Linked DNA regions of Danio rerio. The main gene of each other region encodes a partner of the protein of the gene in region 2 in a complex. Links are inferred from orthologs where the notes say so. Each region holds a gene or a part of one and is shown on either strand. Other genes may lie near its edges.

Evidence for each region.
Region 1: the proteins of tubgcp3 (region 2) and mzt1 are in contact, whole or in part, in a cryo-EM structure (PDB 7QJD), measured with the Homo sapiens proteins. The link is inferred for Danio rerio from reciprocal best matches to the Homo sapiens genes TUBGCP3 and MZT1. Residues at the interface, in NP_006313.1 of Homo sapiens: Lys7, Pro9, Leu12, Leu13, Asn15, Leu16, Cys17, Arg19, Ile20, Leu21, Arg23, Val28, Gln31, Tyr34, Ala35, Val38, Ile39, Asn42, Phe43, Ala44, Pro45, Thr46, Ile58, Leu62, Arg67, Asp70, Phe74, Leu77, Lys80, Leu81; in NP_001065243.1 of Homo sapiens: Asn17, Ala20, Val21, Glu23, Thr24, Val27, Leu28, Glu30, Ile31, Ser32, Arg33, Ile34, Leu35, Asn36, Thr37, Leu39, Asp40, Glu42, Thr43, Ile46, Cys47, Val48, Arg49, Leu50, Cys51, Glu52, Gln53, Gly54, Ile55, Asn56.

The regions. Positions count from the first base shown.
Region 1 is NC_133176.1:34,320,877-34,327,533, reverse strand, and holds the start of mzt1 (mitotic-spindle organizing protein 1), read left to right. Parts: upstream 1-2,312; 5' UTR 2,313-2,547; coding exon 2,548-2,599; intron 2,600-5,262; coding exon 5,263-5,408; intron 5,409-6,657. Other genes in the region: bora (protein aurora borealis), read right to left, coding at 1-39, 1,748-1,900. UniProt on the Homo sapiens protein: Required for the recruitment and the assembly of the gamma-tubulin ring complex (gTuRC) at the centrosome.
Region 2 is NC_133176.1:49,731,440-49,737,344, reverse strand, and holds part of tubgcp3 (gamma-tubulin complex component 3), read right to left. Parts: intron 4,465-5,905; coding exon 4,332-4,464; intron 3,169-4,331; coding exon 3,002-3,168; intron 1-3,001. UniProt on the Homo sapiens protein: Component of the gamma-tubulin ring complex (gTuRC) which mediates microtubule nucleation.

The sequences.
Region 1 (6,657 bases), about 15 Mb from region 2:
TGCCATTTCATCAATAGACCATTTGAACTTAGCTGGTGTCTACAATAGGAAGTAAAAACAGAAATGACACTTGAGCAATTCCATGCTAATGTCAACCTTGCCATAAAAAATATAAAGTTTTAAACAAAATAGCAAAACCCTTTCCAAGTTTTTTGTGTAGGCTTGTATTTTACAGTACTGTAAAAATACACAAAAATGTCTCAATCAATGTTTTTAAACAATTATATTTAAGTCACATGAGTGACAGTTTAACATGTAACATCCATAATGGAGAGATGCCACATCCATAAAGAAGCTTTTTCCACATAAATACAAAAATGTCAAAAAAAATACAATCAATAATTTTAGTTCTACAGTGAGCCAACTCTTATCATTTTGATTAGCATTGTTTATTTTAGGTTGTGCAGTTTAATTCACAGTATTTCTACAAAGTATGTTATATACTGCAAACTCACAGACTTTTTTGGTCACATTCATAAAAAAGCATGTCTATTTTCCTCATTTAAAATATAACAAATGCTTACAGATTGATATTTTGTCAGATCCCATAACTCTGTGGTTAGTTGTTTTGGAAAATTTAATCAGATGTTTCCATATACAGTTGAAGTCAGAATTATTAGCCCACCTGTTTATTTTTTCCCCAATTTTTGTTTAACAGAGAGATTTTCTCAGCACAGTTCTAATCATAAGAGTATTAATAACTCATCTCTAATAACTGATTTATTTATTCTTTGCCATGATGACAGTAAATAATATTTGAAAGACAGTTTTATACAGCTTAAATTGACATTTAAAGGCTTAACTAGGTTAATTAGGTTAACTAGGCGGATTAGGATAATTAGGCAAGTTACTGTGTATTGATAATTTGTTCTGTAGACAGTGTAAAAAATATATAGCTTACAAAGGCGAATAATTTTGTCCTTAAAATGTTTTTTTTTTTCAATTAAAAACTGCTTTTATTATAGCCAAAATAAAACAAATAAGACTTTCTTCAGAAGAAAAGTATTATCAGACATACTGTGAAAATTTCCTTGCTCCATTAATCATCCTTTGGGAGATACTTAAAAAAAGAAAATTCAAAGGGGGGCTAATAATTCTGACTTTAACTGTACATTCTATGTGTATGCTTTAAGTTTTTACTGCAAATGTCACATCCGTAATGCTGGAATTGCTCTCATCATTTACTCAACCTTAACCTGTTTGAGTGATTTTCCCCTGTTGAACTCAAAGAGAAATTTACAAAAGAACGTTCAGAAATAAACAGCCATTGACTGATTTTTTTTTTCCTTCAAACTTTAACAACTGACCAAAGTGTTCCTCACAACTGGCTTGCTAGGTTTGGGACTTGGGAAGCTGCACATCAATGGACTTGCTCTTCTGTATTTGTACTTTTAGCAGTGAATTTTAAATCACAGTAAACTGAACTACACTAAACTGAACTTCAACTCTGGATTGACACAGTTTCCATCTACTAGAAGCAGCTTTGAAACATTCTACATTGTAAAAATAGAAAAAAACATGAATTGAACTTCCATCATGTTTTTAGTGTCTACTATGAATATCAATCACTGTTTTCGTCCCCCAACATTCTTCAGAATATCTTGTTTTGTATTCAACAGAAGAGAGTATTTAATAATGGTTGAGAACCACTTAAGAGTAAATAATAGTGATGAAATTGACATTTTGGGAGGGTGAGCTATCCCTTTAGTTCTTTCCTCATATGTAGTAGAGTCAGTTAATTACTCACCGCTGACGAGCTCTTACAGCTTTTAAAGACAGACGGACTGGGCACCACAGACTCATGCAGACGGTGATAGTCGTTTGGGCTCTCAAACGGGTTCAGGATAGTAGGTCTAGCAGGAGTCTCGGGAGTTATATGAATCTTTGCGATGTCTCCCATCTTTAAAAAGACATCCAGCTGAGCACGCTGAATGTGTGAGAGTAAAACACGGAAAAGAGGAGATTATTTAAAGTATCAACAAATCAGAGCGATGAACATCATGTTTGCTTAGTTATATATCTTGTTATACATACACAAAAGATCAATGATACAATGTTCTACCTTTGGTAATCAGCAGTCTTAACGTTATAAAAGAAGGGGAAAACGTTAACCATGTGTTAGTTAATTAAATACTTACATCGTAACGAAACTCAAACAAACGTAACTGTGATATATGAATTGCTCCAACGTCTGATTTAATTTTTGATCAAGCGGTGCAAGCCAATCACAATCGAGCAAAACTTGCAAAACAGCCAATCAGGTGAGAAGAACGACACCCTTTCAGTGTCTACGTAACTTCCTTTCGAACGTGTGCAACTTTATTGACAGGATTACCATAACATCAAGCGGGAGGTGTAAATATAACGGCTGACAGTTAGTTCATGCTTGTTGTTGAATGCGTTTTATATTTTTCACCCTTGTTGTAAGTTCGCGAATGGTGAGAGAACGCCAGCAACTAACGTTTACAGAGATAGACGCATCAGTGTCGTCTGAATGAAAGATAGTGCGCTGTTAAGTAATCATATAGCTTTAGCAACGATAGCATCATGGCTAGTCCTGCAAGCGCAAACATGAACGCTGTCCGCGAGACCATGGATGGTAAGATTAAATGCATCAGTAGAATGATGAAATGCTGTCATTATAATGCATGCCCGTAGACAGCCTGGTGAAAGGGGTGGTTCTTTATTTTCTCATATGGTGGACCTTGTTGCAGTTATTCACTTCAAAAAAATGCTTTTTTAAAGTAACGTTACTTTATGAAATGTTGCCATATGGCATCGACGTCCAACAGTGGACATAACTTAGAAAATTTAAATGTAGAACTTTCCTTCTAATGAATAATTTTGTTCTTTGAAATGATTTAACTGGTGTTGCAGTATTATAAGCTTTAACACAGAACTTATAAATGACACCTTATGCATACTTTTCAACAACTGATATTCCAACAGCTTTTATTTATTCCATTCTTTTTTGCTGAATATTATTAAAACATAATATTGTTTTATAATGTATACAACACGGTAAAGGTAAATATTTTCTAAACATTTAAGTAAATATTATAATAAATATACCAGTACAATCTATCTAGATGTATCAATGTAGTTACTAGCTAACATTGTTTATATATTATATACTATATACTATACTACGCCTGTTTTAAATGCCTCCGAGCAAACTTACCTGAACTGTCTCCATCACTGTTCTTATCAAATGTCCAACCTGCATCATTCTCACGGTCACTAAAACCCATCTCAACATCACTTTCATCTGCAGGAAGAGCCAGATCTGTCCATTTCTTCTTCCACTTACCATAGAACATGGTGGTCCTCATTAATACACTGTTCCCTGTATTTATTTCTAATCAAACGTATTGCCATTAAAATGTGATTTTATCCATTTAATTTCTATTAATATATGACCAATTAACATTATATTACTAGCATTCATGTTGTTATTGTTACAACTTAAAAGATCACAGCTGACCTTGCTAGCTAGCTAACCCATTGCAATACTGCACATTCCACTATTGCACAGAGCAACACATACATTTGATCGAATTACAAAAAACTAACAAATATCAACTTGAATATAAGTTGGTTTTCTTTACCTCTTTTTCTGTCCATTTCTGCCAAAAACATGCTCTTACATAGGGCTGCACAATATTGGAAAAATCTTACATTGTGATATTTCACTTTACTGCGATTAGAAATAGACTGGTATTAGATTCTGATGGTACTGTATGATAACCTTGTATATAAATATGACTGTATTGTGATTACTAAAATATATATTCTTTTTAAATGTCTAAGTAAAAAACAAAAACTTTTTCCCCTTTAAACAACTTTTTTTTATTTAGAGAAATATTTAAAGTATTTTGAAACAGTAAACATGTCAGGCTAAATAATTAAAATGAATTATTGCATTCTGACTTCATTAGTTTCAAAAACACTGAACAGCTCTACTTGGAAAGAAAGATTTCATTCATATAGATCAGCTGGGATAATTAAATCTTTTTCAATGCAGTGCATCAGCATAAAATATAATAAATTACAAGCATATTCAAACAAGACAGAGCAAAAATAAACAGTGCTTTATGGTTTTCTAAGGAGTGTAAAAGTAATCAAATACAATAAAACGTAAAATAACATCACTGTATAAATAACCTAAAAAATAATAACTTTTTAATCTTTGATAAACAGTCTAATTTTGTGATATGGCTATTGTGGATACACATAATGCAATATAGATGCTCAAACTATATATTGTTTAGCCCTACTTTCACATTATTTGTGCTGTGTAAGCATTACATAAATACATTTTACATAGATATAAAAATAGATTTAAACTAAATAGATTGTTGACTGTTTTACAATATGCAGTGCAAACATTAGGTCATGAAAATTTACTTAAAAGTCCTGGAGAAGGCATGGAATTTTAGTAGTAAAAATGTGTATGAACCCTGTATATTAAAAGATAAATAAATAAAGCTTGATGATTTTTATAGCCTCCCATGTAAAAAAAAAAGTACATTTGAAAATTCATGGATCACAAGAATAGCCTAGGTATTAACTTTAGTATAACTAAAGCTTTGCTGCTTAAGGTCCAAGATTTAGAATCAAAGTTTTTTGTAAAATGTTTTCTCTATTTAACAACAGTGCAGTTGGTCAGTAGTGAAAAATGATTTCACTTACAGTTGTGTCAGATTCTGCTTTGTCCTAAAGCTATTTATGGGATGTGTTTGCAATTTTTGATGGCTTAGCAGATAAAATTGGACTATTGAGCTCATGTGTGTGGCAAATTCTGGAACTTTGTCGGTGTGGGTGGGTATTTCGAACCACTCGAACCCCTCTTAGCTTTGGGTCTGTAATTTGTTATTTTATTACATGGCGATACAGATCCTCACAAACTAAACATAAGTAACGTAAGAAACATAAGTGTGAATAAAAATGTTAATAATGTAAATTAATAATAATATCTCTATTGGTAATTTCTTTGTTGCATTTTATTGGTGGCATTCTAGTTGATTATGTCTCAAAACGTACTAAAACCAATTCAAATATGTTGTCATAAGAGGTTAAATTAAATTGAAGGTAAAATGAAGTCCTTTAGAACTTCTGTAATGTTTCTGTTTTGTTTTTTTGTTTTCAGAAGGGGGAAATAACTACACTTACTGCGTTAACCAAATTATTTCATAATACATTTATTTATACATTTACATACAAGGTTGTTTGACATGATTTGTTTCATTCTTTCACTCTCAGTTCTCCTGGAGATATCAAGGCTGCTGAATACAGGATTGGACATGGAGTCTTTGTCAATATGTGTCCGTCTCTGTGAGCAGGGGATCAATCCCGAAGCCCTGTCATCAGTTATCAAAGAACTCAGAAGAGCCTCAGACTCACTAAAGGTAGGTTTTTTGATGGCAGTCCATCATTTTTCTGCTTCTTTTTCCACACTCTCTCTTTTAATGGTTTTGAAGATGCTAAATAGCATATGGTCATATACTTATAAATTGTAGTTAAAAATGTTTAGTGCAAGGGTTTGGTTTACCCTGAAAGACCCAAACGTAGAAAAATACACTTTTAGATGTTATTGGAGGCCTCTAATGTAATGAAATAAATTAGTTTTTACATTTAAAAAAAATGTATCAGGAAAATATAATATTGCAATGCTGGGCCTCTGGAGTAGCAGAAAGTTGCAGCAAAAGCTATGAAGATCCAATGTTTTTTTACAGGGTGTACTGCCTATGCAGGCCCATAACAGTGGCCTGTATATCTACACGCAACACAAATCAAAACACAATTAGAATAATTGCCGTGTATAATCTATATTTACAAAATTTGATGAAGTAAATGACAACTTTGACATGTGCATGTCTGTATCTGCAGAGTATATAGAATAATAAAAAATGTCTTTCCTGGCTGGTGTTTTAAATTAAAAAACAAATGCTATTCAATTTGCGAGCTAAATAATATTTAAGAAAATCAGCCCTAATCATACTCAAATATTTTAAAGTAACTATTTACACGTTGCACAATTCCAACACCATTCAGCTCATAGCTCTCTACTTATATGCTAATGGCACTGATAGCGTCACTTTCCTTACAATTATCACCTATTCTCCATGCAGCAAGCAGATATTTGGCCATACAAAAGAACACAGGACCAGTTCTGTTGACTTGATAAATATTCAATAACTTTAAAATTAAACAAGTAAATATTTACTATTTTATAATTATTATGTTTGGTAAAACTCAACATTTGAATAAAAATCTGTTTTCAAAAACTGATACTGGTCATTTTATACTGTGGTCTTTTTTACCACATAGATGAGGTGAGAGGTTAAAATCCTCCATGTAATGTTGGTGATGGACCGGAAAATCTTGCCACCCCTGAGACACTGTTGTAAAATTGACATGACAACAACACTGACATAAGTTAAATAAAATATAACAGGATCAAAGCACTTTGTTCTTTATCACCTGCATAATCTAGAAATATAGTACTAATCGCATAAAAAAAGAGACAAGTTTTTAAGTGCTGTAAGTTTAAGTACACTTTAACAAACCTATATACAAAGTCTTGCATCCAATGGCATGACAAGACTGAATATTTGCATCTGTTAGATGCATAAATGTGGTATTTAAAAGAAGGAA
Region 2 (5,905 bases):
ATGCATTAAATGGCACTTCTATGTTTTTTTATGAGGTGTACGATTAATAATAATAATAAAAAAAAAACTACTTTAAAAAAAAGTCTAATTTCTCCATGATGGATGTACAGCGTCCTCCAGTCTCTGGCACCTAGACTGCAGCTCTGTACAAAAAGTTTGGCTAGAGGAAAAATGGTTGTATCTAACTGAGCCTGGTTTCTGTCAAGTTTTTTTCCCTTCACTTTTGTCAATTGGTAAAGTTAGTTCCTCGCCACTTTTACCACTGGCTTGCTTGGTTTGGGAGTTGTGGAGCTGCGCATCCATGGATTTGCTCAGTGTTTGACCTTTCAGCAGTGAAAATTAAACCACACTAAACTGAATTAAACTGAACTTCAACTCTGAAAACTGAACTGACACAGTTTCAATCTTCTAGAACATCTATGTTAAGCTGCTTTGACACAATCTACATCGTTAAAGTGCTATAGAAATATAGATGAATTGAATTGAATAGTTTTAAATAGATTTAAGTTTACTCAGTTAAAAATTGCCTAAATATATTTAACGCACTGGTATACTTCAAACAAAATCAAAAAAGAACAGAAATGGCATCTTTCCGAACAAAATCCAGCCAAAAATGAAGTTTGTTTTGAGTTTGTTTCGCTCACTAAAGCATACTTTTGTGGAAGTTCGTTTTGCTTCTAAACCCTTTTAAACTTCCATAGTTCTAATAGTGTTCTGCTTGGTGTCTATACACCGCAAACAGAATGCATTGTGACGTGCTGCTGTGGGATTCTCGTGCGACTGTTTGCTTTATATGAAACTGTTCTTCTCTCACAGCCACCATTGTTGCCGTTTAGGAGTAGCAGGAAACATTTTATCTATTGTTCTAAAATCAATTAATCAATCAATCAATTAATCAATCTCTATCTATATATCTATCTATCTATCTGGGTTGTCAAATGATTAAAAAAAATTTACGTAAATAATCACACTTTTTTGTAATTAATCATGATTAATCACCATCAAATAAGTGCCATATTTATTACAGAAATAAAAACACAGACATGTAAGTGCCATTTGAATTTCAAAACCATCAATCCCAATAACAAACAAAAGTGATTTCCAAAAATGATTTCCATCAAACTTATGAAATGTGAGGACTCCTGTTAGTAGCTTAAAGGCAGAGAATAGGACTGTCTTTGATAGCTTGCATGATGAAAGTAAGCACTGTGAGGGAGGGGGTGGGTGTAGTGCATGAATGTGAGGACCGGGGGTGTTGCTCACTATTCTGCTGCCTAAGGCGCCCGTCTAGGTGCCTCTATAGACGCGCCGACCCTGAACACGTCAGCCACAACAGGAAATAAAATAAAAAAACTGCAACTGTGATATTTGCGTTATTTATTTATTTTTACGCGTTATACATTTCAAATTAATCACGTGCATTAACACGCTAACTTTGACAGCAACCACTAAAATTAGGCAACAACCATCTCATAAGCTTCATTTCTAAATGTTTGATTCAAACAAAATCAGCACTTTTTCCAGGTTGCCCGAGGTAATGCGCATGCGCACTCAAAATGAACATTTTTGTTTGTCGTGAAAATTTCATTTATGGCCGTGCTACACACTATCATCCCAATAATGCTTCGTCTGATCGCGCTCGTCTTCTGCAGTTCACAACTTGTCTTGATGGCGAATGTCCTACAGAAATGATAGTGACTCTTTGTTTACAAGTTTGTGGGCGTTTGAGAGGCTGCTGTCATGTAATGTGCGTTTGACAGGACAGACTTGCGTTCGTTTTATACAGATTACAAAACCAAAAAAAAATTTTAGTTTTCAAGTGCACTTGGTTCATTTAAAAGCACAGATTTAAGGCTTTATGTGGATATATTTCTCAAGTCTGTAGAGCAAATATTCGCTGAGATTCCAGTGTTTATTGCTGAAGTTCATGTTAAAATCAGTTTAGTTAGTTTTTTGTTTGTTAGTTTGTTGTTTGTTTTTTGTTTTTGTATTTTAGAGGTTTGTTTGCATGCTATATACATATATTAAAAATATAAATTATTGTATAAATGTTGTAATGTTTAAATATTTTCCTATTAAAATGTGTGAATGTCATGTGACCATCAGGAAAAATGTCATTTTTTTAGAGGATGTATTCTCGCGGTCTTCCGAGATGGTTCCGAGGTAACTTGGCAGAACTGGTCTTCATGAAAACACGAGTCTATTCTCTGTGTTTGTGGAATCGAGAAACAGCCACAGTCAAAATATGGAGAAGTTCAAATCAAATGTCACAATCCAGAAGAAAGATGATTTGAGAACCTTTAAAAGTGGAGTGGTTGTTAGTGCCAGACAGGCTGGTCAGAGAATTTTTAAAACCTGCTGATCTACTGCAGTTGTTCCACACACCAGTCTCTGGGGTTTACAGAAAATGGGTTGAAACAAAAAGAGAAAGAGTAAAAAAAAAAAAAAAAAGCTACTGTGCAAGCTCTGTGAGTAAAAATGTCTCATAGATATTTTCTGAAGGCAAATGTACCTAATGAAGTGGCCAGTCAGTTTATATATAATTTTTAAAAATTAAATAAAGAGAATTAAATAAATTATAATACATTAAAAAATAAATTCTTCCAAAATTCTCATAAATGCTTTAATAATATAAGAGATAATCCTTAAATGGTCTAAAGACTCTGAAATGATTAATGGAAGTGAATCAAAAGGAGCAACCCTTACATTGCTAATGAAATTTAAATCAGAGACACTATTAAAAAAGGTCTTAACGCTCCACTACTTGAGAAATGAGGCTTGTGAAACTCTCCAGGACATTTAATGACCAAAATTAAAAGTTCATTTAAAAAAAGAAATCACTGCAATAGTCTCTTAATTGTAGATTGCCAGCAAAATGAATGCCACAGTGTAAAGAATGAAGTACAGCTTTGCAGTGTTAACCATAAAATAAACACTAAAGTATGAAGTAAGTTATTGTGTGACTTTGACATAAACAGAGTGTGTATGTGTTCCTCCTGACCTCATGGTACGTATCCTCCAGCTCTCCATCATAAATCCAGCGGTATAAGAAGTTGAGAATCGGATGAGACACCAGACCAAGGATGTGCTGGATCAGTGCTCTCATGTTGGGGTCACCCGTCTTTCCATACGCATGTACAGCAGTGGCCAACTCTCCACCCTTACGCCCTGAGAGAGAAACCAGAGTTTGTTTATTTACCGTCATATCAGCAACCTATGGCTAAATTGCAAAATTAATATAGATCATTGGCTAAAATAATAAGATAAAATGGCTAAAAGCAAAATTAATATAGATAAAAAATTAACATTAAAATTGCATAATAATAAAAATGTAAATCATAATAACAGATGATAAATAAATACATAAAATATTTCACATTAAGAACATTAAATATGATTTTTTACTTGCCCTGCCAAAATTTTCACTGGCCCAAGTAAAAAAAAAGTCAAAAGTCTTTTTTTTAGCCTCATATTTTAAATTATATATATATATATATATATATATATATATATATATATATATATATATATATATATATATATATATATATATTACAGATGTAATGGTATCAAAATTTCACGATACGGTAATACCTCGGTATGAATGGCACGGTACGGTATTTATTGAATCATTTAAAGGAAAAAAAAAACTATTGAAGAGACTCAAAAAAGTGCTAGAATGTTCAGGTAACCTCAACACTGAACAGATCAATGACATACAAATTACCTATTTGTAAACTTTCAAACAGGAACTTAAATTATTAAATTTTAATAACAAAAAATATTAAACCATGTAAAAAAAAACACCACTCGAAAGGACAAGCCATGAGTGAGATAGAAGTCTCTTGGTGGTACAAGTCAATGTCTCCATCAATCTGAGCAGTGTGCTGTGTTCTGCTGTCCCCTTGACTAAAAGAATCCCCATCATGTTAGCCATATTCCCCGACTTGTATTTCAGCATTGTATTTTTTTTTCTGTCACCTTTTCTTTTTTCTTGTTTCTTTTCAGAGAGAAACTGAAATGCTTCCATGCATCTGATTTAAAACCCGCTTTAGGTTTGACCATTTTTAGCTCTTTTTCTTTGCTCCTACTAGCAGCACCCTCCATTTCTGCATTACTGGATCTGTAGTGACAACAGACCGCAAAGGATGATGGCCACGCCTGGGCTGATGAAAATTGTAGTTTCCGCTACCTCCCATTTGCTCCATTCGCCTGAGAAAACTTTTTACCAGAAGACCTATAATTTTATTGAGTCACAACCACGGTAATATTGAAAGAAATTGCTATTGCGGTATGACGGTATTTACAGGATGAGTTGTATAACCACCAACCTTGGCAGTAGTCCACCAGGGCGGCCAGTGTTTTTAGTCGAACCTTGGGGTCGTAGGTCCACACCAGAAGTCTCCTCAGAGTCAAACTGCTGTCAACACTCATATTTACACCCTGATCGTCCTCCACCTGGAGCTGAACGCACACACATTCACACCAATTAACTGGCAAAAAATACAAAAACATTGTATTTATATGTTTTAGATTATTATTTTTTTTTTATAATTGAACACAAACTGCCCTGCAAATGATTTCATAGTGCAAAGTATGTAAATAAGAGTTGGGCTAAACAATATATCAAATAGTTATCATTGTGGCGATAATAGTATTTGCAATATCTGAATCAAAGAGTATTTGCTTGTTACATGCATAGGTCATTTATCCAAATTTAACCAATCAGATGGGGTCTTGCTATATCCCCAGTAGGTGCTATTATGCTATTGGCTAGACCGGCCCATAAGTAATACAGGTGCCTCAGAGCAGAGAGCTGAAAATAAATACTAATGGCGGAAACATCAGTTCAAATGAAGACAAATGAAGAAAATGAAAACAGTGAATAAAAATCGAATTATTCAAAATAGAATAATAAATATATAAATAAAAAATCTGAAGGGATGCAGGGTGGGGCAGTGGGAAGCACAATCGCCTCACAGCAAGAAGGTCGCTGATTCGAGCCCCGGCTGGGTCAGTTGCCGTTTCTGTGAGGAGTTTGCATGTTCTCCTCATGTTCCTGTGGGTTTCCTCCAGGTGCTCAGGTTTCCCCCACAAGTCCAAAAACGTGGTACAGGTGAATTGGGTAAGCTAAATTGTCCGTAGTGAATAAGTGTGAATGAGTGTGTATAGATGTATGTTTCCCTGTGATTGGTTGCAGCTGGAAGGGCTGGATAAGTTGGCAGTTCATTCCACTGTGGCGACCCCAGATTAATAAAGGGATTAAGCCGAAAAGAAAATGAATGAATAAAAGAAAATCTGAAAACGTTTGGAGTCATTGGTAGTGCCCTTAAGTCTAAATGTTTGCACCTCTACTATAAATATCTAATACCAAAATATCTAAAACTTACTGGCAGAAGCTCAATGTCCCTGATATGTGAAATATTGTTTTAATAATTATAATTCATTATTTTAATATTTAATATTTAATTAATAATTAATATTTATTTTATTAATGATGAGAAGGGATCCCTCTGTATTCAAAGAGGTTTAAAAGAAGATATAATGCAAATTAAATATTAAACATTAAACTTTTGTTTTGTGCAGGTATGTTTTATGTAGCATCACTTGGCTTAAATCAAACCATTATATTTTTTTATGTTAAAATTATATCATCATAATAATTATAAAAAAATTATTAATATATAATAAAAAAGATTGTTGTATTCATTCATTTATTCCACTAATACACTGTACGGCTTCTTATGCTTGGTTGTCGTCATTACAAGTTGCTTTGGATGCAACAGTCAGAAAAGGTTACAGGAGCAATTTGTTTCATTTCAGACAGGGTACAAAAATTGGCTGGAGCTTTGCATCAGTTTCCCCAAACTTCTGTTCTGAAAACTTTACTACAATATCCTGCAGA